4 linked regions of the Diceros bicornis minor genome follow. The protein of the gene in region 1 purifies or fractionates together with the protein of each later gene. This does not show direct contact. Links are inferred from orthologs where the notes say so. Each region holds a gene or a part of one and is shown on either strand. Other genes may lie near its edges. The genes, in order: MYH9, USP11, ENKUR and SPTAN1.

Region 1 (8,129 bases):
AGAGATGCTGTTTTATGCTCAGCAAATTAGGACATTTGTTTAATTAAGACGACACACAGATTTTTGTTATTCTAAATATTTTTGGAACATGATGCTTGGGAGGAAGCTGTCAAGGCATGGATTCTTTTTTTTCCCTTTGCTTTGGCTTTCTCTTTCTTCCCCTCCAAGAGAAGGGTAGGGCCCGGCTCAATGGAAAACAACAGCCAACCCCTCCTCTCCTTTTGAAATAAAGATGTCAAGCTGGTAAGGGCTGTCTTAAGTACTTTACTGAAGGATTAGCTAGAAGAGGAAGTGAAGAAAACACAGTCCGCCTGGTTTCTAGCAATACCCTACCAGGCTACATAACAATGCTGCATTTTTTGAGTGTGCTTTTCTCCTTTTAAAAAGCTAACAGATCCTTGTTTTGTTTTTTCTGGAGCAAGAGGCAAAAGCCAGGCTGTGATTAACATGCATCCTTCATCCTGCAAGAGGGAAGTTGTCTCATCTCCAACCCCTTAGGTTAAAAGCTTAAAAATAAAAAACAGGGGCCGGCCGAGTGGCGCAAGCGGTTAAGTGCGCGCGCTCCGCTGCGGCGGCCCGGGGTTCGCTGGTTCGGATCCCGGGCGCGCACCGACGCACTGCTTGGTAAGCCATGCTGTGGCGGCGTCCCATATAAAGTGGAGGAAGATAGGCACCGATGTTAGCCCAGGGCCGTCTTCCTCAGCAAAAAAAAAAAAGAGGAGGATTGGCGGATGTTAGCTCAGGGCTGATCTCCTCACAAAAAAAAATAAATAAATAAAATTAAAAAAAATAAATAAAAAACAGAAGTCAGGGCCCTGACCCTCTCTTTCGTCTACTCTTATGTGCCCTTCAGACCGGCAGCCCCACAGAATACACCTCTCGGGCTGCCATTCCCCAAACAGAGCCTGCCAATCCGGGCACCTAGATCTGCCCACAGGCACTGCCAGGACTTGCTGGATGTGAATGGTAGAGCTTTCTGGTGTCACTCCGGCGGCTCTCAAATTACAACGAGCAATCTCTTGACGCTTTTAATTACCACTCAGTTAACCACTAAATGAGTCCTCACTTTCCAACACCAAATGCTTGCCTCAGTTTACCAAAGCTGCAACGTGCTCCTTCCTCGAGGCAGCTTCCCTCCTAGCCCCAGACAGAAATGGCCCCTCGGAATTCCTCGAGTCCTTTGTCTGTGGCATGCTTGGGACACTCATCACAGGCTGTCTTTGTATTTCAGTCATTCGGCCACTATTTCCCCTTGAGGACTGTAAACTCCCCTCCAGGAGAAGGCCTGGGGGATCTCCGAAAGATAGGCTGGCTCCCTTCTCCCAATCCCCATGACTCACAGTACCTTTCTGGGGTCTCTGTCATCTTTGCCTCACATTAGAGTCATCTACAGATTTGTCTCAGCTCTGCCCTAGGTGCCAGAGGGCAGGGGCCAGGTCTTACTCAACCTTACACCCCCACCCCCACCACCTGGTAGAGTCCCTGCCACACAGAAGCCAGTTAAATATTTGCTCGATTACACATCTGCGTACCCTCCCCCCACCCCCAGCAGCCTTGTATATAAATTGACTAATATTAATCGAGCGATTGTCTCAACAGGCCTTAAAGCAGCCTCCCTCCTTACCAAAAAGGGAATAAACCACTCAGGGAGGTTATCAGGCCAGGCTCAGACAGTGGAGTCAGAAATGGCCACAGTGTTGCAGGAAGGAGCTAAAGCTCTCTTCCCCTTCAACAGCTACTCAACGGTTACTTTGAAATCTTGTTAAACTCAGCAAAGGGTGCAGTGAACCACGAAGCCGCTGAGCCTCTCGATTGCCCAGAGGAGAGAGCCGCCTGTCTCCAGGACCTGGGACTTCCCAGGAACCTTCTCCCCACACCGGCTGGGTGCGGCCGCGACAGCAGCCCCGGCAGTCACCCAGCCCCCACCTCAACACAGCAGGCAACCTCGTCCTGGAGGGTACTCCGTTTCTGTTTGAAACAACGCGGCTCTGAAGGGATGGGAGGGGTGTGCGGTCCTGCCCTGGGCGTGGCCCCAGGACAGCATGGGGTGAGGACCCCTACACAGGAAGTAGGGGAGGGGGGCATAGAAAACCCGGGATCTAGCCCAGACAGGAACGACGCATAGCCCCGGCCTGGCCCTAAAGGAGCAGAGCCCAGCTGCCCCCGCCCCCGCCCGGTGGGCGGCCCGCAGGTGCGGCGGGATCAGGTGCGCGTCCGGACCACGCAGACGTCTGCGGGCATTCCCGGGCCTCGCTCTCCCGGGGAACAGAAGTCCAAAGACAAAGGTTGAGGGGCTGGGGGGGGTCTTTCCTGCCTCGCGGCCCGGTACCCGCCGGGTCCCCCTGCCCCATGCACCCACCGCACCTCTCCGCGTCCCCTCCTCCGCCCCACTGCTCGCAGCCGGGCGAATGAGGAAGTCGGGAGCGCAGGGCGGAAACTGAGCCGAGCGCAATGTCTGCTGCAGGATTGTCCGCTTCTGAGTCAGGAGGACGCCCTGACAACTGCCAAACGGTCCCCGCCTGCCCGTTACCTCCGTTTCGAAAATGCCTGGAAACTTCCAAAGGAGCCGCTGCCCCGAGCCCCCCACCTTACCCTCACCCGTGCGGCCGGGTCCAAGGGACAGAGGCTCCCCGGAAGGGGTTAAAAAGTTTGCCCAACTTGGGCACTGGGCGAGGCGAGGGCGGGGCGCGCGCCCGGCAGCAGGGGGAGGTCGAGGCTCCGGGTGCCCCGCCGCGGAGTGCGCCGGGCGAGGGGAGATGGAGGGTTTCCGGGGGCGCCCGGCCCCGAAGCCTCCCTCTGCTCCCCGAGGGCCTGCTTCCAGCGGCGCCTTCCCCGAGCGTCCGCGCGGGGGTCCCGGTGCCCCCAAGGGAAGGATGCAGTGCCGGGCCGACCCCGCGGCGTTCGCTCCCGCCCACGCCGGTCGCCCGCCGCGCCGAGGCCGAGAACCACACGCTGGCCTTCGCGCCCCAGACGCCGCGCGTCCCGTCGCCGCCGCCCCGCCCGCCCGCCCGCCCCGGGCGGGACCGGCCAGTGGGGCTCGCTCACCTGAACCTGGATCTGCCCCGGGGAACAGGCGCTGCTTCTCCCGAGAGGGCTTTCTCGAGCGCTCGGGCGACGGCGGGGTGGGGCGAGCGCGCGAGGCGGGAGCTGCAGCAGGTCAGCCTGGCTCAGCCTTTCGTGCCCTGCCCAGGAACCGCGGTGATCTGCGCGCCTCACCGCACCCAGCTCCCCTCCTCGCCGCCTTCCCGCCCCGCCCTCGAAGCCGCCCGCCCATTCCCAGCCCGGCGCCGGCTCCGGGGAGGAGCCTGGAGGAAAGACCCCGCCCCTCTGGCTGTTTCACCCACTCCGGCCCGCTCCTGGTCTTGATGGACAGACATCTTGACCTGTGGGATGGGGTAGGCGGAGCCTCTGGGCCAGAGGGGTGGGGACTTGCCCTCCCCATCCGCCCCACCTCCACCCTCTCCACCTTCCCCCCCGCTTCCTAGGCGGGAGGCCCGCCCCCTAGGGCGGGCCCAACGAACAGCCAGGTTTCAGGAGGGGGATTGACATAGAGGGAGTCCAATCAGGATGAGGAGGCTCGCAGAGGCCTCCGGCCCGGGATTTTGGGGCGTTGCCTGCACCGGTGCGAGGCCGGGCCGGAGGAGACGGGGGAGGTCCCGGGTTGACGCCCCGCCCCGCAAGCTGTTTTCCCTGTCCCAAGACATCCTACCAGAAGAACAGATATTAAGTACCATATATGGGAAAAGTGCTATTTTACATAATTATGATGGCCTGCGGGGGCGGATATGAACTCAGCCCGGATCCGTTGCGGGCGCCCTGAGTTCGGTTTCTGACCATCTCTTTAGAGTGGGCACGCTGCTGTCTTATAGGATCCAGACCTTTGCTCGGAGGGGTTCCCTCTGCCTGGAGCGCCCTTCCAAACCTCTCTTCACCTCCACGTGGTTAACTTGCACCCTTCCTTTCAGATTTTGTTACAAAATGTTTAATTGGGTTTGTTTGGGGTTTTTTGGTTACTGCCCGCTACGAAAAGATAGAAATTTTTAAAAAATTTTTCACACTTATCTTTTAATCCATCTGGAATTTATGTTGATTTTGGAGTGAGGAAGAAATCTAATGTAATTTTTGTAATAGCCAGGTGTACACACACCATTTTCTCTGCTGACTTCAGGTACCACCTTCCTCACCTTTTGAGCTCTTATATATGCTTGGATCTGTTTCTGAGCTGTATCCATTGATCTCTGTGTGTTCCTGTGCCAGTTCCACAATACTTTCATGATGATAGCTTTATAATACATTTTATATCCAAGAGGGCAAATTTCTCATTACTCTTTCCTTTTGGAATGTTCTTCCTATCATGACTAAACTATTCTTCCAAAGGAACTTCAGAAAAAGTTTATGATCAAAAGAACACTGGAAAAAAGATTTTGCAACTCTGTGACAAAGAATTACTATCAACAGTATATAAAGGGCTCTTTTCGGTCCATGAGAAAAACCCCAAATACTCCAAAATAAAAATGACGAAAAAAGGAACAGGCAATTAAAAACGAAGAAATATAAATCCCCAATAATTATGAAAAGATTGATCTGAAATGCAAACAAAACAACATGGGATACCGTTCTTCACCTATCAAATTAAAAAAAGAATAAAAATGCCCACACAGATGGGAAAGTAAATTGATCAATTCTCCCTAAGAATTCATCATAAAAAAATAACTGGAGGGGCCGGCCCTGTGCGCGGTTAAGTGCGCGCTCCACTGCTGGCTGCCCAGGTTCAGATCCCGGTGCGCACGGATGCATCGCTTGTCAGGCCATGCTGTGGCAGCGTCCCATATAAAGTAGAGGAAGATGGGCACAGATATTAGCCCAGGGCCGGTCTTCCTCAGCAAAAAAACAGGAGGATTGGCATGGATGTTAGCTCAGGGCTGATCTTCCTCACACAAAAAAAATAATAATAATTGGAAAAGTGTACAGATATGGGTTAAAAAGTTCTTTGCAACATTGTTTATAGTCATTTAATATTAGAAATAAATGTACAATATAAGAGATTGATTGAATAAATTTTGATAGATCCATGTGTTGAAAAATACCCAGAAAGTGATTAAAATTTTTATGTAGATTTGTATTTACTGATTTAAAATATACTGAGGAAGAGCAAATTATAGAATGCTAATACTGCAGGATTTCATTTATTTTTATGCAATGTTTGTACGTGTGTGGGTGCCTGACGTGTGTGTGTATGTGTGTGTACGTGTGTGTTTCAGAGAGAGAGAGGCAATGAGGTTTAAAAGACATTATATCAAAGTGTAAATAGAGGTTATGTCTTGGTAGAAGGATTGTGACTGATTTTTTCTTTTGCTTATCTGTTTCTAACACATATATCACTTGCATAATTTTTCCAAAATGGAAGAAAAAGACTCACTTCGATGTCACCGCTTCCAAAAATCTTCCATGACACTCCAGGCCAGTTAGGTGTCCCTCCTCTGTGTTCCCACATCATCTTGCGTTTATCTCTCGCATAGCACTTACACACTGGATTATAATTGTCCATTTACTTGCTGTTTCCTCTGCCGAGGCTAGAAGCTGCCTAAGGGCAGACAGAGGCTGTGTCTTCTTTGCCTCTGTGGACTGAGAACTAACACAAGGCTTGGCATAAAATGATCCTGAGTGAATGCTTGAGCAGGACTCAGACAGCATCTGTTTCCTTATCTGTAAAATGGGTATAATCGCTGGGCCTTGCCCAACCCGCATGACTGTTGGGAAGAACACAGGAGACGTGGACCTGAAAGTGTTTTGTAAACTACAAAGCAGTGTGCACTTACAACAGAGCGTTATTGATAATGATCATTTCCATTTTCCTCACACCCCCAGATTCCTAGCACCACCCTCTCTAGGAAACTGAGGTCACTAAGAAGATGGAAGGCCTCTGTCAGCTGGCGCTGAATTCTCTCCTCCCCATCCACCAGCCTAGATGCTTCCCTAACTAAGGAAGTGTTCCCACTTGCTGTCCAGCCTAACGCCTCCTCTATCTTCCAAGACCTGCACCCTTGATAGTGTCTACTCTTGTAATAGTTTAGAAAAAATTTCATCCGTTTTTTCTGGGTCTTAACATGGTGTCATGGTTGGTATGGAAAATGCTAAAAAGAAAGAAAATAAAAATCACCCATAACCTAACCACCTCAATATATCAACTATTAACAAACCTTGTTATTTTCTTCAAATCTTTATACATACACACACAGTTAAAATGAAATTGAGAGAGCTACATATATATGGTCACCTGATTTATTACAAAGGTGCCACTACAAATAAGTGGGAAAAGATGGTCGTTTTAATAAATGGTGCTGGGTCAATTGCATATCCACATGTGGAAACGTGAATCTTGACTCCTACACTCACACCATTGCCAGAAATAGTTTAGGATGGATCAGAGACCTAAATGTGAAAAGTAAACAATCAAACTTCCAGAAGAAAGCATAGGAGAGTATCTTCATGACCTTGAAGTAGGCAAAATTTCTTAAACAAGACACAAAAAGTATAAACCACAGGAAAAGATTGCTAAATTGAACTTCATTAAAATTAAGAATTTCTGTTCATCAAAAGATACATTTAAGAGAGTGAAAAATCAAACCACAGACTGGGAAAAAATATTTACAATATATTTACTATATATATATATATATATATAAACAAAGGAGGTATAACCAGAATTTATCAAGAATATCTATGTTAAGAAAAAAACTGAAAGGGCCGGCCCCGTGGCTTGGCACGCTCTGCTACTGGTGGCCCAGGTTCGGACCACTGGCACGCACCGACGCACCGCTTGTCCGGCCGTGCTGAGGCGGCGTCCCACATACAGCAACTAGAAGGATGTACGACTACGACATACAACTATCTACTGGGGCTTCCGGGAGAAAAAAAAAGGAGGAGGATTGGCAATAGATGTTAGCTCAGGGCCAGTCTTCCTCAGCAAAAAGAGGAGGATTTGCATGGATGTTAGCTCAGGGCTGATCTTCCTCACAAAAAAAAAAAGAAAAGAAAAAAACTGACAACCCAATTTTTTTTTAATGGGCAAAGATTTGAATGGGCACTACATAAAAGAGGATATCTAATTAGCCAGTAAGCAAATGACAAGGTACTAAACATCATTAGTTATCACAGAATGCAAATTAAAACCACAATGAGATAGCACTATCCCCAACAGAATGACTGAAATTAAGATACCAAGTGTTGGCAGGGATTGGGAGCTACTGCAATTCTCATAAATTGCTTGTGGGAGTATAAGTTTCTACAACCACTTTGGGAAAGTGTTTGCCTGTATCTACTACAGTTGAATATACATGTATACCCTATGATCCAGCAATTCCATTCTTAAGTATATCCGCAACAGAAATGAGTGCTTAAACCCAACAAAGACATGTACAAAAATGATCATAGCAGCTTAACATAGCCAAAGTAGGAGGAGAAAAGTTTAGCAGTGGTGAAATAGATAAATTGAGTGTGTTCATACAATGGACTACTATACAGAAATAAAACAAGAACAAACAAATGCTACATGTAGAAAACACAATGACTCCAACGTCCATGAACTGATGAATGGATAAACAAAATGTGGCATATTCCTACAATGGCATATTATTCAGCAATAAAAAGAAATGCTATAACATACATGCTACATAATACAGGCTACAACATGGATGACCCTTAAAGACATTATGCTAAGTAAAAGGAGCCAGTCACAAAAGACCATGTATTGTACAATTTCATGTATATGAAATGTCCAGAATAGGCAAATCTATAGAGAGAAAATAGATCAATGGTTGCCAGAGGCTGGGGAGAGGAAAGAATGGGAAGTTACTGCTAATGGGTATGAGGGGTCTTTTTTTGAGGCAATGAAAATGTTCTGAAATTAGCTAGTGGGGATGGTTGCACAACTCTGTGAATATACTAAAAAACCACTTAGTTGTATACTTTAAAAGGATAAACTGTATTGCCTGTGACTTATATTTCAATTAAGCTGTTATTTTTTGTTTTTAATGAATGGCTCTCACAGACATACTATTGAATGAAAGAGTTTAGATATAAAAAAAAGTAGATACTGTATGATTCCATTTATGTGGAGTTCTAAAACA
Region 2 (7,498 bases), on another chromosome or scaffold:
ACTGGCCCTGAGCTAACATCCGTTGCCAACCCTCCCCTTATTTGCTGAGGAAGGTTAGTCCTGAGCCAACATCTGTGCCCATCTTCCTCTATTTTGTATATGGGATGCCACCACAGCATGGCTCGATGAGCGGTACGGAGGTCCGCATCCGGGATCCGAACCTGCGAACCCCGGGCCGCCGAAGCAGAGCGCGCGAACTTAACCACTACGCCACCACTGGGCCCGCCCCCTCAATACATTTTTATATATGCTCTTTTTTTTCAAGCATTTGAGAGTAAGCTGCTTACACGATGGCTCTTTACTCCTAAATATTTCAGCATGTATTTCCAAAAAAATAAAGATATTCTTTCATAACCACAATACAATTATCAAAAGCAAGAAATTAGCAGTATTAATATCTAATCTACAGACCTTAGTCAAATTTTACCAATTTTCTCATTAATATCTTTTATAGTAAAAGAGAGAAAATTAATTTTATGAGAAAAAAACCTGACTTTTAAATAATTTATTTTTTCTCCTCCGGGATCCAATCTAGGATCACACGTTGCATTTAGTTATCATGACTCGTTAAATCCCATTAATTCCTTCAGTCTGGAACAGTTCTTCATCCTTTGTCTTTCACGACCTTGAAATTTTTGAAGAGCAAAGGCCGTTTATTTTTATGGAATGTCCATCAATCTGCGCTACGTAAACGTTTTCTATCATCTTTTTAGGTCTCACGAATTTCACAATTTAAAAAACGGGATGCAACTTAGCGAGAAATAAAATGAACCCATAAACAGTTCATTTCAAGCACTGGTTAGCAAAGAAATCAGTAGAACAAGCCGATTTATCAAGATAGGCATGGACTTTTTTTTTAAATTACTATTTTTTCCTGATTACAAAAACAAAACAGTACCAAAACAGAAAACAAACGTAACATCGAAGGCCCCTCCCATGCCAATCACCTGCACTTTCTCCTGTCCCGGGAAGAAGGCCTCGGCCAGAGGCAAAAACCTCACCGCGTCACAAACTTTGCTCATTCGCAGGCGCCATTTTCTGCTTCACAGACACCACCTCCCCTCTGCAGTCTCTCCTCCGGCTCAGGACACGCCCCTCGGACCACGTCACAAGCCTCGTTCCCAGGCGCCAGCTCCCTCCTCCTGCCCACAGCCGTAAGGCTCAGATCCCGCTCTTCTGCCCGACGTCACCCGCCCGGCCTCGCTCAGGCGCCGCGGGGTACCCGGCACCGCCCCCGTTTCGCCACACAGACCCCGCCCCCGGGCTCTGTTGCAGAGACCGCCTCCTTCCCAGGTTCCGAGTTCCAACACACGCCTGGCCCCACCCCCAGGGCCGTTCTTCTCAGGCCCTGCCCCCTGCCTTTCCACAACAAACCACATCTTGTTCTCAGGCGTCAGGCTCCACCACACAGGCCCCGCCTCTTTCCCAGAGGAGGCGATCCACTCACAGGCACTTCCCCGCCCCTCTCGTCCTCCGTCCCACAGGCCAGTGCCCCCGCCCCCACGGCGATTCTCCTGTGGACCACGGCCGCCCCGTAGCCGACGCCCCCACCGTCCGCTCAGCCGAGGCTCCGCTTGCCGCCCTGCCTCACCAGCTTTCGCCGGTCCGCAGTGGACGCTCTCGCCCACTCTCGCTGTTTTTGATCTGGCGCCGCTGGCTCTCCAGGCCCGGCATGGCTTCGCGCTGTGGCTCTCGGTCCTCGGCCGCATCCGCAGCCGCCGGATCCGCTGCGACTGCCGCCATGGCCGTTCACCCTCTTCTCACAACCGCCGCAGCTGGTGATAGGAAGAGGCCCCTCAACTGCCACTTCCGGATTCTGGTCCCGGAAGCGGAAACAGAGCCCCCCAAACGCCGGGGGGCTACTTCCATCTTGGAAATGGACCCCACGCTTGGACGCGTGGAAGGGCTAGGCAGGCGTCGGGCTGTGGGCGGTGATCACTGCGACCAATAGGCGGGGTAAAACCTCCAGTTGGGAACTAAGAAAGACAAAGGTACCCTGTGGGATTCTGACACCATGTTGAGCCAGGGCAGACGGTAATGTGGAAGGTGGAGGCAGAGGTCCCCGAGGTGGACGAAGACATATTCAGGAGTGCTCAGGGACACACACACACAGGTTCTGGTCTTACGGGTCCCATGCTCTGCTGGGGGCCTCTACCCTGCGAGCAGCGTCTTTGTTAGCCTGACCAGAATGCCTTTCTTTCATTGCACTACCCTTCTGATCCATAAAAACCCAATGCGAAAAAGGTCACCACCTCTAAAGCGCCACCCAGGCCTGCGGGCCGCTTCCCTGCCTGCCCAGATTTATTCTCTAGACAAACGTGTTGAAGGCAAGTTAGCCCTAGGCCCTGTGTATTTGTTGGAGTTACAGCAATAACTAATAATAGTCGGCCCTGCTTAAGTGCTTTATTGCATGTAAATAGTAGCCTTAGGCAGCAGATAATATCACTGTGGTCCATGGGCAACAATGAGGCAAGCTGAGGTCCAGAAACATTAATTCACTTTGCTCCAGCTAGTAAATGGCTGAGCTGTGGTTCGAACTCAGGAATTCCAGTTCTAGAGCTGTGATCTTAAACACCAGGCCAAGGATTCTCAAACTGTGGTCCTAGGCTTTCTACTGGTTCAGGAGACCCTCTAAGGGGGTTTACAAAGTCAAAACTATTTTCACAATACTTTTCCATTGCCATTCTTTCTTGCATGTGCGGTGTAATTTTCCAGGGGCTACATGACATAAGCAAAAGCTCTTTGGATGTCCTCAATTTTTAAGAATATAAAGGGATCCTGAGACCGTTTGAGAACTATTGCACTAGGCCAGGGTTTCTCAACCAAGACAACATTGATATTTCTGTTGTGGGAAGCATTGTAGGATGTTTAGCTGCATCCCTGGCCTCTACCCACAAGACACCAGTAGCACCTCCCAATTGGGACAACCAAAAGTGTCTCTAGACATTGCCAAACATCCCCTAGTGGTGGTGGTGGTGGTGGGGATTCTCCGGTTGAGAACCACTGCACTAGGCTATGCCATCCTTTTCTCTTCTAGGGCTCCCAGCCCTGCCTGTTGGTGATAACGTCATTTCCCTCTCTGGCTCCCTGCATCTACCTGCCTATTCGCTGTCCTCACCTGACCGTCCCACAAATTCCCCAAGACAGGTTCATGATTCCAGATGTTTCAGTGACTTCCTTCACTGTCACCACCCATTCCCACAGGCAAGAACACACCTTGCCTTTCCATGCCTCTAGGCCCATGCACACAGGTCCCTGGGCCTTGAGTGTCCAGAATACCCTCTCCCTGCACAATTTAACACCCTCCACACACACATACACCCATACACACAATCTCATAATTTACCTCTATTTTCAGTTAACCTCCACGGGGCAAAGATTGTGTCTTTATTACTGTGATGCCAGCCCCCAAAGCCTCAGCTATCCTCACACCTGAGGCCAAGTTCCAGGCTGCACCATTTAACCTCTGGATTCTCACAAACCATTGCATCCTTCCCAGCATCACCTTACCCATGCCCATGGTTTCCATTACTTCCTAGACACCAATGATCCAAACTTCCAGTTCCATCGATGGCCCAACTCCTCAATTTGACCCATGTATTAAAGGATTCCCCTACCTACTCAGTGATCCAAAATCTACCCTCCTCTCATATTCCCTCTCCAACTGGCCCAACTCATGGTGTCCTGGTCAGACATATAGTGGTCATACTGGATCTCTCTGCCTCATCTCCCCACCTCCTGGTTTTATTGGGCCTTCCAAGTGTCTTTCAAACAACCTCTCCACACTCACCTATCTCTACCCTCTATCTGGCTTCCTCATATTCTTGGGTAAATCTAACTCCTCTCTCTGCTTCTGAGCCCCTCTATTCGGCCTGCCCTACCTGCTTCAACTCAATGTTCCACTGTTGCGTGTACAACCCCTCAGATGCCTTTTTCACAGTCGTGATGTGCCCCTGGCCCACTCTCAGTGCTCTCCTAGACATTGGGGACCAGGTATGAATTCGCCAAGGTCCCAGTACTAACCCTGGGTCAAGCCCACCCCCACCCCTGCAGGGATTTGCAATCAGGTTTTTCACTTTAGACTTTAATATTTCATACAGCAATTATGGTGCATTCAGGAACCCAACCCCCCAAACCCCACTAGGAGGGCCCCCACTGCTGCCCTCCCACCCCATCTGAGGGCCCCAGGGTTTAGAGTGGAGGAAGGGGAGGTAACCACCCATCTGGGACTGACCCCAGAGACTGTCCCTGCCCTGCCTCACCCTCCCCAGGAGTTAGAGGGTAATGCCTGGGCACAACCCCCCATGCTCCCCTTTGCCCCTGCTTGTGCACATATACACACTATGGCTCCTCATTGAGTTGGTCAGTTCCTGGCAGGGCCCCTACTCAACAGCACCAAGTGGGACGGGGGCAGGAGGGCTGGGCTAGGGAGACCCTGAGAAGGAAGAAGGCCCCAGCTATGGGACTGCAGGAGGGAAAGAGTGGGGGCCCCCCACCTCGCCCATCTCCCAGAGAGTCTCCGGTAGTCCCCAGTTCCCCCTGTGGCTGGGGATGGCAGGCGGGGGTAGGAAGGCGACTGGTCGAGGCATGCTTTCCCTTAGCTGACCCCAGGGTCTGGTGATGGTCAAGGTTCCGAATAGGGGCTGTGTCCCTGCCTTAGAAAGGCTGGGAGTGGGGCTTCATTGCACAAAATACTGTGGGAGGGCCACACGCAGGGGGTGGAGCCCAGCCAGTCTGTATACAGAGATATTGCATTTAAAAAATGAAAACCTCATTTAAAATAATTAAAAAACAACAATGAATGAAACAAAAAAAAAAAGCCCACACAACATGAGGCAGGTGGGGCAGGCAGGAAAGCAGGCAGGGGAAGCCTCAGACCCAAGGCATCACCACATCTTGTCTGACTCGAGATCCCCAGCCTGGGCTAGCTCCGGCCCCTTGGCTGGCCACGGGGTAGTGGTCCTGGGGGAGGGTTTGATGGGGAGGGGTACAGGCCCGGCCTCAGTGTGGGAGGCTGGCATGGCCATGCTGTCCGCTGGCAACTACCAAGACAGAGAGAGAGACAGACAGAGAGACCAGGCGAAGGAGCAATGAGAGCTTTGTTAGCACCCAGCAGACAGGCCAATAGGTGGGTTGACAGGCCAATGGTCGGGTGTCCAGACAGGCAGCAGGGGACACGTGGGCAGGCGAGCATGAGTCAGGCAGGTAGGCAGGCAGCAAGCAGGGAGAATGCAGTTGGGGGGCTGCCCTGTGAGGGGTGTGGCATCCCTCCAGCCGCTGCCTGCTGGGGCCTTGATCTGTGGCTTAGAACTCAGCTTAGAACTCGGTGTCCACCACACGGAAAGCTGGCCTGCCTGCGGGGGGAAAGCAGAGCGGATGGCTGTTGGTAGGCAAGCAGGTAGGTGGAAGAGGCAGGGAAGAGGGCGAGGGCCACATCTACCTGAGTCAGGCATTGATGAAGATCGAAGGCTGGCCTCCTTTTGTAGCTGGATCTCCTTTAGTGCAAATATGGAAGTAGCTGTGCGTGGAGGAGAGACAGAAGTGGGGAATGACCCATGGGGCCATGCAGGACCACCTCCCATATGGCCCCACAGGGCAAACTAGAAAAATTTGCCTTTTCTTTGAGAGACCTGACTTTCGTCTGTTAAATAATCCCACACACAAACCAAATACACTAGAAGTGGAATATAGACTATTACATGACACCAAGAAATCATTATTAATTCTGTCAAGTGTGACGATGGTACTACAATTACCACCTGTTAAGTCTAGGTGATGGATGGTATCTGGGATTTGATTTAGATTAATCCAGTGGGGAGACATGAGAAGTGGGCCAATTTTTTTAGCTGTGATAATATCATTACGTTTAAAAGAATATTTTGGAGATACATGCTGAAATTATTTATAGATGAACGATATGTCTGGGATGTGAGTCAAAATAATCAGAAGGAATACAGATAAAACCAGATTGGCCACAAGTTGATGATCTATTGGAATACTTGGGGACTCAACCTATTATTTGGTCTAGTATATAAATATAGCTAATTTTAAAATATCCATATTAAAAAGTTTTTACAAGTCAGATATAAAAAGAGAATACCAGGGCCGGCCCCGTGGCTTAGCGGTTAAGTGCTCACGCTCCACTACTGGCGGCCCGGGTTCAGATCCCGGGCGCGCACCAACGCACCGCTTCTCCGGCCATGCTGAGGCCGAGTCCCACATACAGCAACTAGAAGGATGTGCAACTACGACATACAACTATCTACTGGGGCTTTGGGGGAAAAAAAAAAAAAAGGAGGAGGATTGGCAATAGATGTTAGCTCAGAGCCGGTCTTCCTCAGCAAAAAGAGGAGGATTAGCACGGATGTTATCTCAGGGCTGATCTCCCTCACCAAAAAAAATAAAATAAAAATAAAAAAATAAAAATAAAAAAATAAAAAGAGAATACCCCGTGTGATTCCATTTCTGTAAAGTACAAGACAGGGAAACCTTATCTATGTGGTTATAAGTCCAATTTGCAGTGACCCTTGGGAAGGGGACCGGGAGTAAGTGAAGGAAATGGGGGCACGCTGGGGGAGCTTCTCCCATCCTGGTTTTTGACCTGGATGCCATTACATGGGTGTGTCTAGTTTGTGAAAATTCATTGTGCTGTATACTTACGATCTGTGCATTTCTCAGTATATATTTTACAAGGAAACATTTACTTAAAAAAAAAGGTAAAGTAGGGGCCGCCCCGGTGGCGCAAGCGGTTAAGTGTGCGCATTCCACTGCGGGGCCTGGGATTTGCCAGTTTGGATCCTGGGCACGCACCAACGCACCGCTTGTCAAGCCATGCTGTTGGCGGTGTCCCATATAAAGTGGAGGAAGATGGGCATGGATGTTAGCCCAGGGCCAGTCTTCCTCAGCAAAAAAGAGGAGGATTGGCAGATGTTAGCTCAGGACCGATCTTACACACACACACACACACACACACACACACACGCACACCAGGTAAAGTGATGTTGCATCTATTTTTTTATGTATGTTTGAAAATTTCTATGAAAGGTGACAGGAACTAAAAACGAAAATAACTTTTTTTGTAATAAACACATCACACGTGTGAACAAGGGTGTACCCTCTTAGAGGTGGCGTAGCCAGAGCCCTACACGACCTGCCCAAGCTGTCTGCAGCTGTCCTGTTTCCCACAGGCCCCCCACCGGCAGCTCCATTCCCCAGATCCACTCACTGTCAGGAAGTTTGTGGATCCGCTCCCCCAGACTGAGGAAGAATAGATGTTTCATGGCGTCCTCTGCGGAGATCCGATTGCGACCTTCAAACTGAGTGGGGGGCGGGGGTGTATGTGTGGAATACTGACACCTCCAATGAGTAGGCCTCTCTTCCTCCCCACTCCAGACCCTGCCCCTGGAACTCCGTTTCCCTACACCTGGAATCCCTTAGCCCCCAAGGCTGGCCCAGGAAGATGGTCTCACCTGCAGCAACTTGGTGAGGAGATCAGCCC
Region 3 (7,084 bases), on another chromosome or scaffold:
AATGTGGGACTCATAAATCAGGCAAATGCCTTAGACATAATAATATAAATCTTGATGTTAGCAAAGCCTCTAATTAAATCCCAACTGATAAGATAGAGAAATATGAACTGATTAATGGATGCATTTGGATGACTGACTGAACCTTCAAAAACAGTATTGCTGTCAGTCTAGAAAGAGGTGTCTAGTAGCCTACTAAATTGCAAAGAATTTGCCCTGTGTAACGATAGATGGAGATATAAAAGACATACTTATTCAATTTGCAAATGACACAAAGCTGGGTGGGATGGTTAAGAGAGTGTATGAAATATTCAAAATTCAAAACTTTCTCCATCTATTAATGAATTTTGATCAAAAAGAATCAGCCATACAGTTACAGGACGGGAGAGACCAATCTTAGTCATAATGCATGTGGGAATTTCAATGTGAGACGATGTGGGACATGACTGTCAAAATGCTAATGGATGTATTAATAAAAGTATTGTGTATCAAGGAAAGGAGAATAATGGTTCCATGGGCTGTTCAGACCACATCTGGAATATTACCTTAAACAAAGGGAAAGAGAAAATGATTGGAGATATTACATAACTGGAGCCATCAAGAGAAGGGTGACAAGTTTGGTGAAGATCTTGGAAACCATCTCATGAATCATGAGCAACTGAAATTTTGAAAACTGATTCATGGCTTCCCATTGACTCGAACACTTTTATACCTTAAGTCCCAGCTCACAGTTCAACTGCAAGAGGGTGCCCTTCACCCCACTTTGGTTACATATATCCATTTTCTAAGTTTTCATTTAGTATCTGCATCTCTCATGAGGGTTTTCAATAATATATGATTTTATTGTTAATCAACATTTTAATGTTTATAGTTCAGTTCCCCAGGGAAACTGTAACCTCTGAGGTATGGGAGATCACAGTGCAGTCAATTGTTGATTTTCCCAAGGAATTAACCTCTTTGTGAAAGCTGGATAGTCATCTCGCTAATCTTGCAAAGAGCTGCAGAGAGCTTTCTTGAAGCTGGGTTTATAACTTGCTGATGCAAATAAGCCTCATAGCTTAATACATTTCGTTCTTATGATTAATTCTTACTATTAGTAAGGATATTGGGTCAGGGCAAGTTTGTGGTGGTGTGGTGAGAAAGAATTGGTTAAATGTTTTATTATGCTCCGTTTTTATAAATTAATAATTTGCACACATGACATCTTGTCAAATTAAAAACTCCTCATGGTTGTTGCTGACAGTGTGGGTTGACTTCCCCCTAACAGAAAGAGTTCTTTGGCACCACACTTAGATACCTTCTATTCCCTTCACCATAAGTTCCTTTTCCCAACTTATTTCTTCAGAGTAAACCAAGGAGTTTGTGCTGTCACTCCAACATTCCCTGAGAACATTCCCCAAGGATGATGCTATACACATAAGAGGGGCTCAGTTAATGCTTGTCAAATGAACAAAGATTGTTCCTATAAGATTTCTTGAAAAGATCACCCAGATGCAGTAAAGCTTTTTAATTTACCAATGAACAGAACACCCATCTAATTAAGTATCTTAACATTCAAATTCAGTACTCTATAGAAATTACAGTCTAACAGCAGATTACAGAGAGGAGGAGCTTTATCTTGTACAATATACAGAAATTTTTGACCAAAAGTCCATTCAGCAATAGTTAATTTGAATTAATTAATTTTAATTTAAATTCAAATTAAATTCACTCCTCATAAACTCTGCAACTGTAATATATCTTACTTTCCATTCTTCTTTCTAATCTCTACTAGATTTTGAGTAGCTAATGGAAAAAAATGCAGGTACTGCTCTGGTTAAAACCAGATACTAACGCTTAACATGGAAGGATTTGCCCACTTGTTGATGATTTTAGGCACCCCAAGTAATTACTAGTAAAAATAATTGACCATTATATCTGAAAGAGACCTTAAAGATTATCTAGTTCATTTAGATTGTTTTACAGATCAGAAAACAACTGAAAATTTATTCACTATCCCAAAACCTATTAGTTGCAGAGCCTGTTTTTTAGCCCAGTGCTCTTTCAATGTGGTTTTGATTTGCATCAGGAAAAGGTAAAAGATAGCAAAAGTCCTAGAGGGAATGAGATTTTCCCCACTAGCTACCTTCTTTTCTCCCCATAGATTTAAATAAGTTCTAAGTCCCTACACAGGAGGGTAAGTGAGATGTTTACTTTGTGGTTACATTTCTGAAATTTGGGGAACTTAAGGGGTTCTAATACCTAAAAATTAGGTAAAAATTATAACTCAATTACATATTTTTGGGTCTTTATCCATCCACTCTTCTTCTACCCAATATTAGATCCTAAAAAGACCTTAGAAACTACTCAGTCTATTTTGTTTCACCCATCAAAAAAACTGAGGCTCAGAAACAAATAGGAATTTATGTTTGACAATAATCTTGGGAAAAGTAAGTACTATCCCTTTAGAGAGGGAGCAATAGCATAGTCAGAAATAAAACAATGAACTCCTGAAACCAAATAGCAAGTATCCTAACATAGGATAATAAAGTTGGGATTTTCTCTTTTCAACAAGAAATTTCACGCTACGTTGTATATATAGTACATCATGTACAAACAACTACATGAATTACAAAACAATTACAAACCGTATTAACAGAGGCTAACACGATAACTTGGCCCTCTCACAGCACTGGACTGCCCTCTCTGTGAATTGTGAGATGCTAAATACTTAGATTTTGCAACCTCTTGTCTAAGAAGTTGTCATCCATGGCTACTTCATTGAGCAACAATACATGTCATTTCTTAAAGTCATATGATGCTTAGTTAAACCTGAAATGAAATAATTATTTCCCATTCTTGTTTCAAGTGATCATCTTTGCTTACCCACATACCTAGGAGGCTGGGGAGGCTCCTTCCAGTCACTGGGTATGAGGTTATAAATGCTCTCAGAAGAGCACGTTGGATCCATGGCCACCAAATAACTCCTTAAACCCACACAACTTTTTTCTCACTATACCAATATCTCCGTCCCTTTCTTCACTGCGTCCCCTTTCCTTTCCTACTCTCTTGCCTTCTCAAAGAACTAAGGTTTCGTTTTCACATAAATCCCCTTTGACTTCTTCGCAGCCCCTCTTGGGAAGAAAATAAAATACCCCTTCTATTCCCCTTGGGGTTGCTTAGCGTGGTTAATAGCGCGGTTGCCATGGAAACAGTTACTAGGCGACGGGGAAGTGGAACGCAGCACCGCAAACTCGGTTTCCTCTCTTCCCTCTCTCTGCAGCAACATCTTCTGCCTGAGAAGTTCAACATGGAAATCACTGTTTATATGTGCCTTTGGGAGTAATGGGGTGAAGAATGGCGTCCTCTTAAAACCGTTGCTCTTTCCTAGCTCTGTATACTTGGAGAGAGAGAGAAACTCTACCTGAGACAAGAAGAGCAGCTGGTATGCAGGCGTCACACAATCGGGCTCTTGTGCGCAGGCGCCAATCCCGGTGGGGGCGGGACGAGCGGTTGAGGCCACGCTAACGCACGGCCAACGTCGAAAGCGAGACGAGGGAGGGGAGGAGCCCAAGGAGCTGGGAGGCCAGGTGGGTGGAGCGCGGGGCGAGAGTTACGTGCCCGGTGCGCGGCCGCTCGGGGCGTGGGCGTGGCGCGCGGCCGCAGGCGCAGAGGCGGCTGAGCAGGGGCCGGGAGGGCCCAGGGAGGCCTCGGGTTTGGGCACTGGCGGCTCCTGGACGCTCCCTCCCGTTTCCTTTCCTTTCCTCCGACTTCTCAGTGTGGTTTTCTTGGTGAGTTATTTGAGGAGAAAGACAGGGACACTGTAGAATCCAGTCCGTTAGCATCGCATGCCTTGTCCCCCCTCGTTGCTTCCCCTTTCCACTACTCGGTTTGTCATGTCAGCTCTCTGCGCTCGTTTTCCGGCTGCTTCTGTCCCCGGCTGCTCAGAACTCGCCGCGGCCCTGCCCGCCACCTGTGCGAGTGAGCCCCCCCATCCACCTTTGGCCGCCCCCCCCGCCTTCTCCCGCGCATCGCCTCTTCCCTGCTCTCCGCCCACTTTACCTCTTGGACGGGCGCCTCCTATTTGTTCACCGCCTGTGAACTTAACGATTTTTAAACGACCCCCCCAAACCAGAAGGAGAAGCCTTTTAAATGGGCCCTTGAATTTTTGCCCATTTTTTAGGTGTCCCTTTTGGAAAATTGTCTTCTTTCTGAGAAGCAGTTTTATTCCGTTTTGAACCATTTGGTCTTCCATAAACCTATTTATGCACGTATGACTGCTTAAGGAAATTCATTTAGAAGCCTTTGCCATACCAAGTCTCTGAAAGACTTTTTGGCAATACTATTTGGGAAGGAAGAAAGATGGTCGTGAACCAGCCTTACAGAGGCCACGCTGCCCAAAGGGAATGAAGATGCTCGCAGACAAGAGAGAACAGCGGTTTTAGTAGTCTCGCTGCCAGGATGCTCAGGGGAGGGATTAAAACACGAGGGTGTCTTGGTTAACTTTCTAGTTCCTACTTAAAAGGCTTTGCTGAAGGTGTAGATCCTTATCATTTTTGGCTGTTGGTGAATTTCATTAAGTAAGAATAAATTTAGTTTTCTTTTATCCAGTTGGTCAGATTTTGATTTTTATCCCAGGCGTTTTAACAAGCATTTAATTCAGATCAGTGACACTTTGAGGATGATGCTCCTGTATATACTACTTGGAACACTTGGGGACTATTTATGTTAATCAGATCCTAAAAGAGCCAATAAGGGCAAAGCATGATTTTTCCAGTGAGTAAGCACCAACCGGCGTTAGCTAGTCTTGACCTTTTGATGTGACTGAATATGGTAATTTCACTGATATCAGTATATTTATTGTGGTTTTAAAAATACTAAACAGACTTCAAGATCTCCTCACTATAGTATATTTAGTTTACAGTCAAGATGAAGTTGTTAAATCATTTTGAAAGGAACTTTCTTTTTCTTAGATACTTGGTTTGTAATTCTGCTTGCCTTTTGAAAGCATGTCTACAAAGAATATATTTCTAATTTTTATAATTCCCTCAAAATGGCAGTACTGTTCAAGGAAATGCCTGTGTCCAGTATGTCCGCAGGGAATTGGTATTGGTACACCATCAGAGGTCATGAACTTTTTCTGTAAAGTGCTGGATAACAAATATTTTAGGCCTTTGCAGGCCAGATGGTTTCTGTCCAAACTACTCAGCTCTACCATTGTAGCTCAAAAGCAGCTGAAGACAACACTAAACAAATGAACGAATGAATGAGCAAAGTTGTCTTCCGGTGAAACTTAATTTACAAAAAGGGTGGTGGGCCAGACTGGGCCTGTGGGTTGTAGTTTGCAAAGACCCCTGATATAAATGATTGTACATCCAAGTTAGGTTTTCTTGCTAAAGGTTATTTTAATCTACTGAGATGAATAAAACAGGCATAAGTGGGCATATAAATAAGACAATCGGGAGGAAGATAAACCGTTTATAAAGACATTCTTTACAATATTTTTCTAAATTATAGCATTGAAAAAGATTTTTAAAAAGTCTTGATTTAAATACTCAAGACCATTAAGAGGGTATCTAACAGCAAAAGACGAACAACAGGACAGGCTTAGTCAGCTTTGATACTAAGATAAAGGCAGAGATGAGTGGTGAACTTGCAAAATTACGCTTTTGATTATAAGATCCCTGTGATTACAAGATGGCACTGATATGTGTGATCCTTCCACCCTCGCCACCTCCGATTTCCAGGGAAGTAGGAGCTGATTGACTAAAGGGCTTGCTGAGGGGATTTTTGCTCAATAGTCAGAAGCAGCAGAGTTTGCTTGCCCCTGGTTAATTTATGTCCTTGTATATTTGCATTTTTTCTTATTACTTATTGGAAAACAATTTATTGCTGTAAAAATGCAGTAATTTTTAAGAATTTTTTAAAACCTCAGAATTTCTTCATAAGATAATGGACTAGGTTAAATTTCTCTTCTGAGAAATTTAAATAGAGATTGCATTAATGTAGGATGACAAGCATAATCGTGTCATAAATATTTCAGAAGTTCATTGAACTATAGCCAATTCTCATCATGAAATAGTTTTTGAAGTGCTATGTCTTACTTTTTATTTTGGAACAGTATATAATGACAGATATTTTAAATTGGTGACAAATGCTAAATCATTTTGACTAAATAGGATTTTGGCAATTTCCCAGGAGAATTAGAAACTGGGTAGTTTTATAGTGTAAGTGAAAAATTCTTCTGGACCATTTTGTAAGTAAAAATTGATATGGGCTGAGTATGATTTTGGTTATCAGTCATCTAGTGGTAAACTTAGGAAAACATCACTGTAAATGGGTTGTTGAAAATTAGTATGTATTTCTGGTTTAAAAATGTAACTTTATTATCATTCATAGGAAATAATTTAAAAGTCATTTAAAAAAGTGATTTCTGTGTTTTTTTTCCCTTGAATTCTTTATTCCATTTTGATCAGCTTGCCACAGTAAAATTGTTAAAATTTGTGTTTTGAGATCATGGTACTTGAATTAATACGTACATGTGGGCATTCTGTTTTTGTTTTTTAAGGTTCTTGCTGTAATACTGACACAACACTGCCTTTTCATTTATCTATTTGAATGACAAGTGTCTTTTATGTCTAAAAAATATCCATTGGAATTAGTGGGTCAAAAGCCCCGCTATAAGTGATCAGTAGGAAAACATATTTAAAAATTATTAATGTATAATGGAGTTGTGTAGATCTTCCATCCCCTGAGGAGTTAGAGAGTGTAACTAAAGTATTTTTGTGTAGAACTGGCTCTACAAAAAATATTTGAGAAAATTAATGATACAATAAAACCTGAGTACTTTATGGCCAAGAGATTTGGTCTTTAAGTACTATTTTTGTTTTCTGACTCTTATGTGATTGACTTCTGTTTAATTTGAAATAATTTTGTCCTTTGGGTGAAGAAAAATTGCCTATTCATGACCATCATACTGAAAAACATATTAAAATATAAATAAATAAAAATCCAATAACATGGCTTTGAATCATATATGCAGTTGGTCCTCACTTTTCACAGGTACCGTATTTGTGAATTGTGGTCTCTATAATTTGTTTATAACCCA
Region 4 (7,346 bases), on another chromosome or scaffold:
ACACCAAAAAAACCCAACAAAATCCAAACCCTAACCAATTTGCTTAGCAGAAAGATCATGCAGGCAGAGTTTTTTCCCCCTCTCTTTGGATCATTCAACCTCTTTGACACAAATGTGTCTTCACTGCAAGCCAGGCAAACCCGAAAAGCCAACACGTTTCCTGCATGCCGGTCAAATACCTGGACTCTGCGCTTACGAAACGATGACAACATGATGGAGGAATGTGGAGGCTAAAGACAGGGGGAGAGCAAGACGACAAGCTTCTGAGGCCAAACTGAACAGAATAATTTCAAAATGAAGAAAGCAGACCTTTAAACACATCGAATACAGGTAAATATCAAATTTCAGATGTTTTCCCGACGCCTGTCTTATTCTATGGAGCTTCTAAATCCCACCAGGGATTTATTTTATTTTTTATTTTTGTGAGGAAGACTGGCCCTGGGCTAACATCCGTGCCCATCTTCCTCCACTTTATATGGGACGCCGCCACAGCATGGCTTGACAAGCGGTGCGTCTGTGCACGCCCAGGATCCGAACTGGCGAACCCCGGGCACTTCACCACTTGTGCCACCGGGCCGGCCCCCCCACTGGGGATTTAAAATGTGGAAAGAGAACCAAGATTCTCTGGTCTTAGCAGTTCCTATCTAAAAGATGTGCGGCTTTGGCCAAGTCATATCCTCTTTTGGGTCTCAGTTTCCCCACTTTTCAAATAAAGTAATAATACTGAATACACTTTTTAATGATAAACATGCCCTCCCTCGACCCATATTCCGATAAACTGAGACTCCTGGGACTAGATGATTCCTAAACCCCCCTTCCATTCAGTAATAAAATAGCATGATTTCATGAAATCATCAGAAACAAGAATTAACTCAAGCTACAAAGATCTGACTTGGGCCTAGTTTACTGGTACATTTCCTTTACAAAATACTATTTCCTGTTCAAAACCGGTACAAGAGGAATATGCAAAAAAGGTGGAAGGGAGGTAACCAGCACAGCAGCTGCTCCAGTCCACTGGCCCCCAAGTGATCAGCTCTGCGTCCCTCCTCTGCATGCCTCGAGTCAGCATTTGCCACCAGGGCGTCGCATTTTTCTACCTACTCTGATCACAGCTGTAGCAGACCCGCCTGCAGAACCAGCGGAGTCCTCGAATAGCCCAGGGAGGATTGATTACAAGGCCGGCCTGGTGCCCACTGTCCTTAATGCAGGTTCAGCAATGCCAGGACTGTGGACTATTCCTGATTTCCACTTCTCAGGATGTGCAGCCGGCCCCTCCCTTTGCGATGGAGGCAGGTAAGGAAAAGTAGAGAAAATTCTAATGCAGGGAACCAAAAGATATACTTAAAAAACAGCTCTCTCCACCTACACCTGTTCATCAGATTGCTTGACAAGCTCATATTAGAGCCTGTGACAGATCGGATTTCTCCAATTATTAGATTACTACAAAACTCACCGCTGAGACCAAAAGCGTATCAGAGAATGTTATCAGGCTGATGGTTTACATTAGGAATGGCTTCACACCTGTCCAGCACAAAGCAAATCCTCCTTTCAAGTCTCCTCTCTCCATCTAGGTCCCTGGATAACAACTAACACACTTTGAGGGTCCCTTTGAGTAATTATTGGCCCAGTTACTAAAAAAGGCTTATTGTTAATTTCCTGCACGGAGGCCATTCTGCAGCGCTTTTTTTTTCCTGCAGCACATTTTTTAAACTTTGACTTCAATTTGACCTTTCAAAATCTAAGACACTAGCTGCAAGCAAAGGGAAAAATAAATGACTAGTTTAAGGAGGTGGAATCTTGGCTCAACGGCTTCGTACAGCCAAGTGTTCCCACTGCTATTCTGAAGGTTTGCTGTTTCCTGGCTGCAAGACACCCCCATCCTTCCATCTTTGATACATTCTGATTTACTCAAGTCCAATTGCCATGACGACGCAATTTCTCCACACGTTATGAAAATACTTCATATGTTCTCTCTTCTATTCTTCCCTAACAGCCATGATGGTAAGTTTTTCTAAAATACCACGATGAAGACAGAACAAAGGGCCTACATATTTTAGGATCTATTATATAAAACAGATTTGACAAGGTGCTGCAGCAATCCAAATATCATCTCAAAACCGCTTTCTGTGCTATTCAGGCTTTTAATTTAAAATATATGCAACCCTTAACCTTAACAAGCCCCTTATTTAAGATATTTTATTTCAGTACATCAAAGGGACTTTTAAAGGCAATTTTCTTGGGGAAGCATCTAATCAAATTCGCAGGGATGGCTTTCAAACAAAAGGCTGCTTCTATCATTCCACACCGGGATGGCTGTAGAATTTTTGACAAATATACCGCCCTCGACTCGAAAGACCCAGTCTCGGGGGGGAAAAAAAAACAACCTCGGAGCTATTAAGTTATTTGATTTAGGTCTCATACAAAGCAAGCGCCGCATCTACCTATAATTTACAAGCGAATCACAACTGGGTAAGAAAGAAATGTTTATTACAAGGTAAGAAAAGGAGATGATGGCCAGTCTCGGACCGTTCTGCGTCTAAAAGAGAAGGCCAAGACTCGCCATACAGGATAAGAATAAGGTCAAAGAGCCCTTTACTCTGAGGTCGGTTCTTCCTCCTTCAAGGGTTGGGCCGGCATTGCTTGGGGGGATTGGGGCAAAGGAGCTGCAGAAGTCGCTCCCCACGAGGGAAGGGACTGGGGGCGGTGGGGGGAGCGCTCTGCAGGGAGGGGGAAGGTGACGATCCGACCAGGGAGCCCCCGCCCCACCTGCCGCAGCCGGATGGGGCCGGACTCGGGGAGGGGGCGGGGAGGGAGCCGGCGGCCTCGCTCCCCCTCCGCCCCGTCAATGACATTCCAGCGGCCGGCGCCCAGACTCGCCAGGCGGCTCGTCCGCAGCCCACGCGCCACAAGCCGGTCGCGGCCGGCTCGCCCGGCTCCCGCCCGACCGAGGGTGCTGCGACGCCCGCCCGGCTCACCTGTCCGCGCGCCGGCCCCGCCCCGCCCCGGGGGCCGCCCGGCTCCCCGCCCGGGGGCCGCCCGCCCTGGGGGCCCGCTCCCGCCCCGAGCTCCCCCGCTCCCGCTCTCACCGGCTCCTGGAGGGTGAGGGCCGTGGGTGCGTCGGGCTGGAGGGTGTGGGGTGCTGCTGAGAGACCAACGCGCCTCCGCGGCCTCCGCTCCTCGCCGTTCGCTCCGCAGCGGATACTGGCGGCGACGCGCGCGCCCCGCCCCTTTTATAGGCGGCCACGCGCGTTCCGGCGGCGGGCGGGCGCGAGCGCGGGGGAAGCGCCTCGGCGCGGCGCGAGGGGCGGGGGCGAGCGCCGGAGAAGCAAAGGGGGCGGAGCTCCCGTCGGCTCAGCTCCCGATCGCCGGGCGGAAGGGGCCGAACCTTGCCGGAAGGAGCCGAAGCGGCGATGCAGGGGAAGAGCCGAGCCGGGGGAGCGCAGCGGGAGGATGGGGAAGGAGGGCGCGCGCCAAGGGTGGGGGTTGATGGTGCAGAGGAGTCGCTGCCTCCGCCCAGGCGGGCCGAGATGCTCCAGCCACACCGCCCTCCCCGCAGCTTGGATCCTCCAATCCTGCCCCTCCCCTCCCTGCAGAGAATCTTCTGCACCCCACCCCTCCGCCCCTGGGAGCCTTTCCAGGACTGCAGCGAAGGGCGGGGCAGGGGCCATCACTGCAGTCTGGCTGGAGATGCTGCACACCCCGGCCGGAAAAACGCCCAGTCCCAAAGGGTGAGGTCACCCGTGTGCTTCTCTTCCTCCTGGCCCCTTTCCCTAGGAAAAGGCTGGGGCTGCAGACCCAAGTCAGCCTACTCGGGTGGTGGCTGAGGTCAAGACACCCAGGATGATTTTTGTCTCCGGGATTGAGAAGGTGGTAAGAAAAGGCCAAATCCGATTATAAAAAATAAAGCCTACTAATTTGGAGTTTGTCATTCCAGAATTTTGAGAGTTAATAATTTCTTATATTCTTACAGCAAAAGCTTTCTCACAGGTCACTCTGGGAATAGGATGCATCAGTCGTATTTTATAAACAAGATATTAAGCTTCCTCCTGCCACAGTTTACTGAACTTTCCTTATGTACCAGCACTATGCTAAGCACTTCATGTGTATTACCTTTTTCTTTTTAATCTTTGCAATAATTTTATGAGGTAGGTGTTATTTCCCCATTTCACAAATGAGCAGCACCCTGATATGGAAGCTAGGTCTCTTGCCCTGGGTCAGGCAGCTAACAAGAGGAGAAGCTAGGATTTGAATCCAAGCAGTCAAGGACCTACTCTGAAACAGTTTGTTGGACTGCCTTCCCATAGGAAAGAGAGGCATTGTGATGGTGGATGCCAGGGTGCAGAGAAAAGAAAAATAAGAGGATTTCTGGAATTTCTGTTCCTTACAGTCTTAGAAGCTCAAGGGCCTGGCTCTAAACTCTATAACTAGAAGCCCTTGGTTAGGAAGCCCTTTCCCCACCCCTACTCCGGTGACAGCTGGGTGGCAGCCATTGGGAGTAACACCCAGATCATTCCTGTGCAGTCAGGCAGACCAGGAGCTCTGCAGCTCAGGAAGGCCTCAGCCTCCCAGTTACCAGGCAGCCCTCTTTAAATCAATATAAAGGCACTGGGCACTGCACCAGAGCTTGCACCCAGGCCGAGCCCTGAGCTTCCTGGTCCTCTCCAGTCTGGCTTCTTCCTCTGTGCCTGGGATCTGCAATCTGGTTTCTAAGCAGTCTTGGCTGTAGCCATGATAGTGAGGAAAAATTCTCCCATTCCTTCACTCCATCAGAGCAGAGAGAAAAAAGGAGTGGCCACACACCAGAAGCAGCTTTACAGAATCTGGAGGAAAAACGTAGGAGCTGAGAGGCATTTCCTGCAATCTCCTCTGTAGAGAAAACAGGACCGGTAACTCTTCCCTGGGGTGTGCATTTCTGGGAACAGCTGATGGCAGCGACAGCCTCTTCTCCAGCGGGGAGCAGCAAAATGTTTAATCAGATATTCAGCTCTGGGTACAAAATGGCTAACACAATCACAGCTCTCCAAAATTTCCAAGACCTTCTGTTCCGGCAAAGAATGGGTCTCAAGCCTGTGGCCAGGAGCTATAAAAAAGGAGGATTTTTCTTTTAGATCACTCTGGCCTCATTAGGAAATGGGGGTTTTGCTGCTTTTACCAGATGCAAAACAGATTTGACCTTAGAGAGAGCTTCTATATTGAGACAGACACTGAAATCATATTTGTTGATCCTTTGTCTGATCTGAGACATGGCCAAAAAGCAGTGTCTCCAGCCCTTCTGCCTCCCCCTCACTCATGCACCCCAGTCTGCATTTGGCACTGGAGGCATTTAAAAAGCCATTTTTCACATGTTCTATTGTCTGCCTACCTCACCTCCCACCAATTTCACCATAGCCTAACACTCTGCTAGGTGTGGGGAGAGGGAGATGACAAAGCAGATAATGGCCTCTTTGTTGTCTGAGAGAAACTCATTCAGAAAAAAAAAGAAAAAAGCAGAGGACAGTATAGCAGCTCTGTAACCAATCAACTCCAGGTTCTCAGTCACTTCGTTCCTGGCCTCGTGAAAAGCGCAGGTAGCTCCTTTTCCTAGTTTCCAGCGTTCTCTGAAGGTTTGGTATATGCCGTAAGCTTAGGCATCTAAGTGGTCTCAGTACATTTTCAACTTGTTCAAGAGGTCAACCGTTGGGGAATACATCAATTGTAATGATATTTTCACGTGTTCCGGCCATGGAAAGTTACTTGCCCACTCTCTCTGGGTGAGTCTCTACACACACGCACGCACGCACGCACAGTTAACAAGCACAGTTAACAAGCAAGCGCTAAGCATTCCTCTATTTTTCCTCGAAACAAGGGAGCTGATTGGGAAGTCAGGCCAGAAGTGGACTGCACTGCTTCCCAGACGACATTCTGCAGTGTGAGAGCTGGCAAGGAACAGCACAGACCTTCAAAACAGTGACTGGAGGAACCTTAATAAACCAGACACAAAAGGACAAATATTGTATGATTCTGCTTCCATGAGGTCCCTAGAATCGTCAGATTCATAGAGACAGAGAGTAGAACATGGGTCACCAGGGGCTGGGGGAGGGGTAGAGGGAGTTAGTGTTTAATGGGGACAGAATTTCAGTTTTGTGAGATGATAAAGTTCTGGAGGTGGATGATAGTGATGGTTATACAACAACATGAGTATACTTAATACCACAGAACTGTACACTTAAAAATGGCTAATATAGTAAATTTTATGTTGTGTACATTTTGCCACAATTAAAAAAAAAATGAGACACCGTGACTGCTTCTGAAATCAGAGACCACATTAGAGAAGAGGCCTGACAACTGCTGGGAGCATGGCCTTGACAGGCTGGTCTTTTTTTTTTTTTTGGTGAGGGAGATTGGCCCTGAGCTAACATCTGTGCCCATCTTCCACTATTTTGTATATGGGATGCCACCACAGCATGGCTTGATGCGTGGTGTGTAGGTCTGCACCTGGGATCCGTACCTGCGAACCCAGGGCTGCTGAAGTGGAGCTACGCCACTGGGCTGGCCCCCCAGGCTGGCCTTCTTAAAAGGACTGCAGGTGACAGCAGAGAGGTGAGCTCCTCTCTCCCCTGGGACATCTTCCTAACTCAGCTCACTTATGTCATATCTGTAATCTTGTGGGCTGACTTGTTAGGCCCCGTCAGTCTCTACACCTCCTGTTCATCTTGAAGACACAGTTAGAATGTTTCACAAACCATGTCAAACTCTCTCAGAAATCTAGTAGCTTCCCATTGCCTACAGAATCGTGCAGACTATTTCAATAGAGATTCAGGAGCCTCCTCAAGCTTGTTCCAGCTTACCTTTCCACAGGATCATTTCCTCTTGCTTTTCTCCAGACCTGAGCTTAGCCACCTCCTAAACAGGTTATTTTTCCAACTTCATGCTTTTTTTTTCTGCTTGAGTAAGATTGTCCCTGAGCTAACATCTATGCCAATCTTCTTCTATTTTGTACGTGGAAGGCTGCCACAGCATGGCTTGATGAGCGGTGTGTAGGTCCATGCCTGGGATCCAAACCTGCAAACCCGAGGCCACCGAAGCGTGGCGTGTGAACTTAACCACTATGCCACTGGGCTGGCCCCAAGAAAAATATTTCTTGAATGTCATCTGTATGAACTGGTATTTAAAAAATGAAGCCCGGCGATAAACTAGAGGATAAATTCCTTTATAATGGGTGTTTTTGTAAATTCATCACATAGCTGGAAGACCCCAGCTCTCACCTGCTTTCTGCAGGTCCCAGGAAATCTAACATCAGGAATTCATTAGGTGGGACAGAGAAAAGGGAAGTGAATGACCAGGTTGGATAAGGCACCTGTAAGAAG

What was found.
Region 2: the proteins of MYH9 (region 1) and USP11 purify together in Homo sapiens (affinity purification with mass spectrometry; 3 studies listed by BioGRID, with this or other methods). This does not show direct contact. The link is inferred for Diceros bicornis minor from reciprocal best matches to the Homo sapiens genes MYH9 and USP11.
Region 3: the proteins of MYH9 (region 1) and ENKUR purify together in Homo sapiens (affinity purification with western blotting; 4 studies listed by BioGRID, with this or other methods). This does not show direct contact. The link is inferred for Diceros bicornis minor from reciprocal best matches to the Homo sapiens genes MYH9 and ENKUR.
Region 4: the proteins of MYH9 (region 1) and SPTAN1 fractionate together in Homo sapiens (co-fractionation; 3 studies listed by BioGRID and IntAct, with this or other methods). This does not show direct contact. The link is inferred for Diceros bicornis minor from reciprocal best matches to the Homo sapiens genes MYH9 and SPTAN1.

Annotation. Positions count from the first base shown.
Region 1 is NC_080764.1:13,205,406-13,213,534, reverse strand, and holds the start of MYH9 (myosin-9), read right to left. Parts: upstream 3,199-8,129; 5' UTR 3,046-3,198; intron 1-3,045. UniProt on the Homo sapiens protein: Cellular myosin that appears to play a role in cytokinesis, cell shape, and specialized functions such as secretion and capping. Required for cortical actin clearance prior to oocyte exocytosis. Promotes cell motility in conjunction with S100A4.
Region 2 is NC_080781.1:41,032,161-41,039,658, reverse strand, and holds the start of USP11 (ubiquitin carboxyl-terminal hydrolase 11), read right to left. Parts: upstream 3,219-7,498; 5' UTR 1,744-3,218; coding exon 1,592-1,743; intron 1-1,591. Other genes in the region: CDK16 (cyclin-dependent kinase 16), read right to left, coding at 5,317-5,354, 5,441-5,518, 7,226-7,316, 7,470-7,498.
Region 3 is NC_080775.1:24,233,526-24,240,609, forward strand, and holds the start of ENKUR (enkurin), read right to left. Parts: upstream 3,176-7,084; 5' UTR 2,948-3,175; coding exon 2,871-2,947; intron 1-2,870. UniProt on the Homo sapiens protein: Adapter that functions to localize a calcium-sensitive signal transduction machinery in sperm to a calcium-permeable ion channel.
Region 4 is NC_080767.1:36,367,833-36,375,178, reverse strand, and holds the start of SPTAN1 (spectrin alpha chain, non-erythrocytic 1), read right to left. Parts: upstream 3,196-7,346; 5' UTR 3,087-3,195; intron 1-3,086. UniProt on the Homo sapiens protein: Fodrin, which seems to be involved in secretion, interacts with calmodulin in a calcium-dependent manner and is thus candidate for the calcium-dependent movement of the cytoskeleton at the membrane.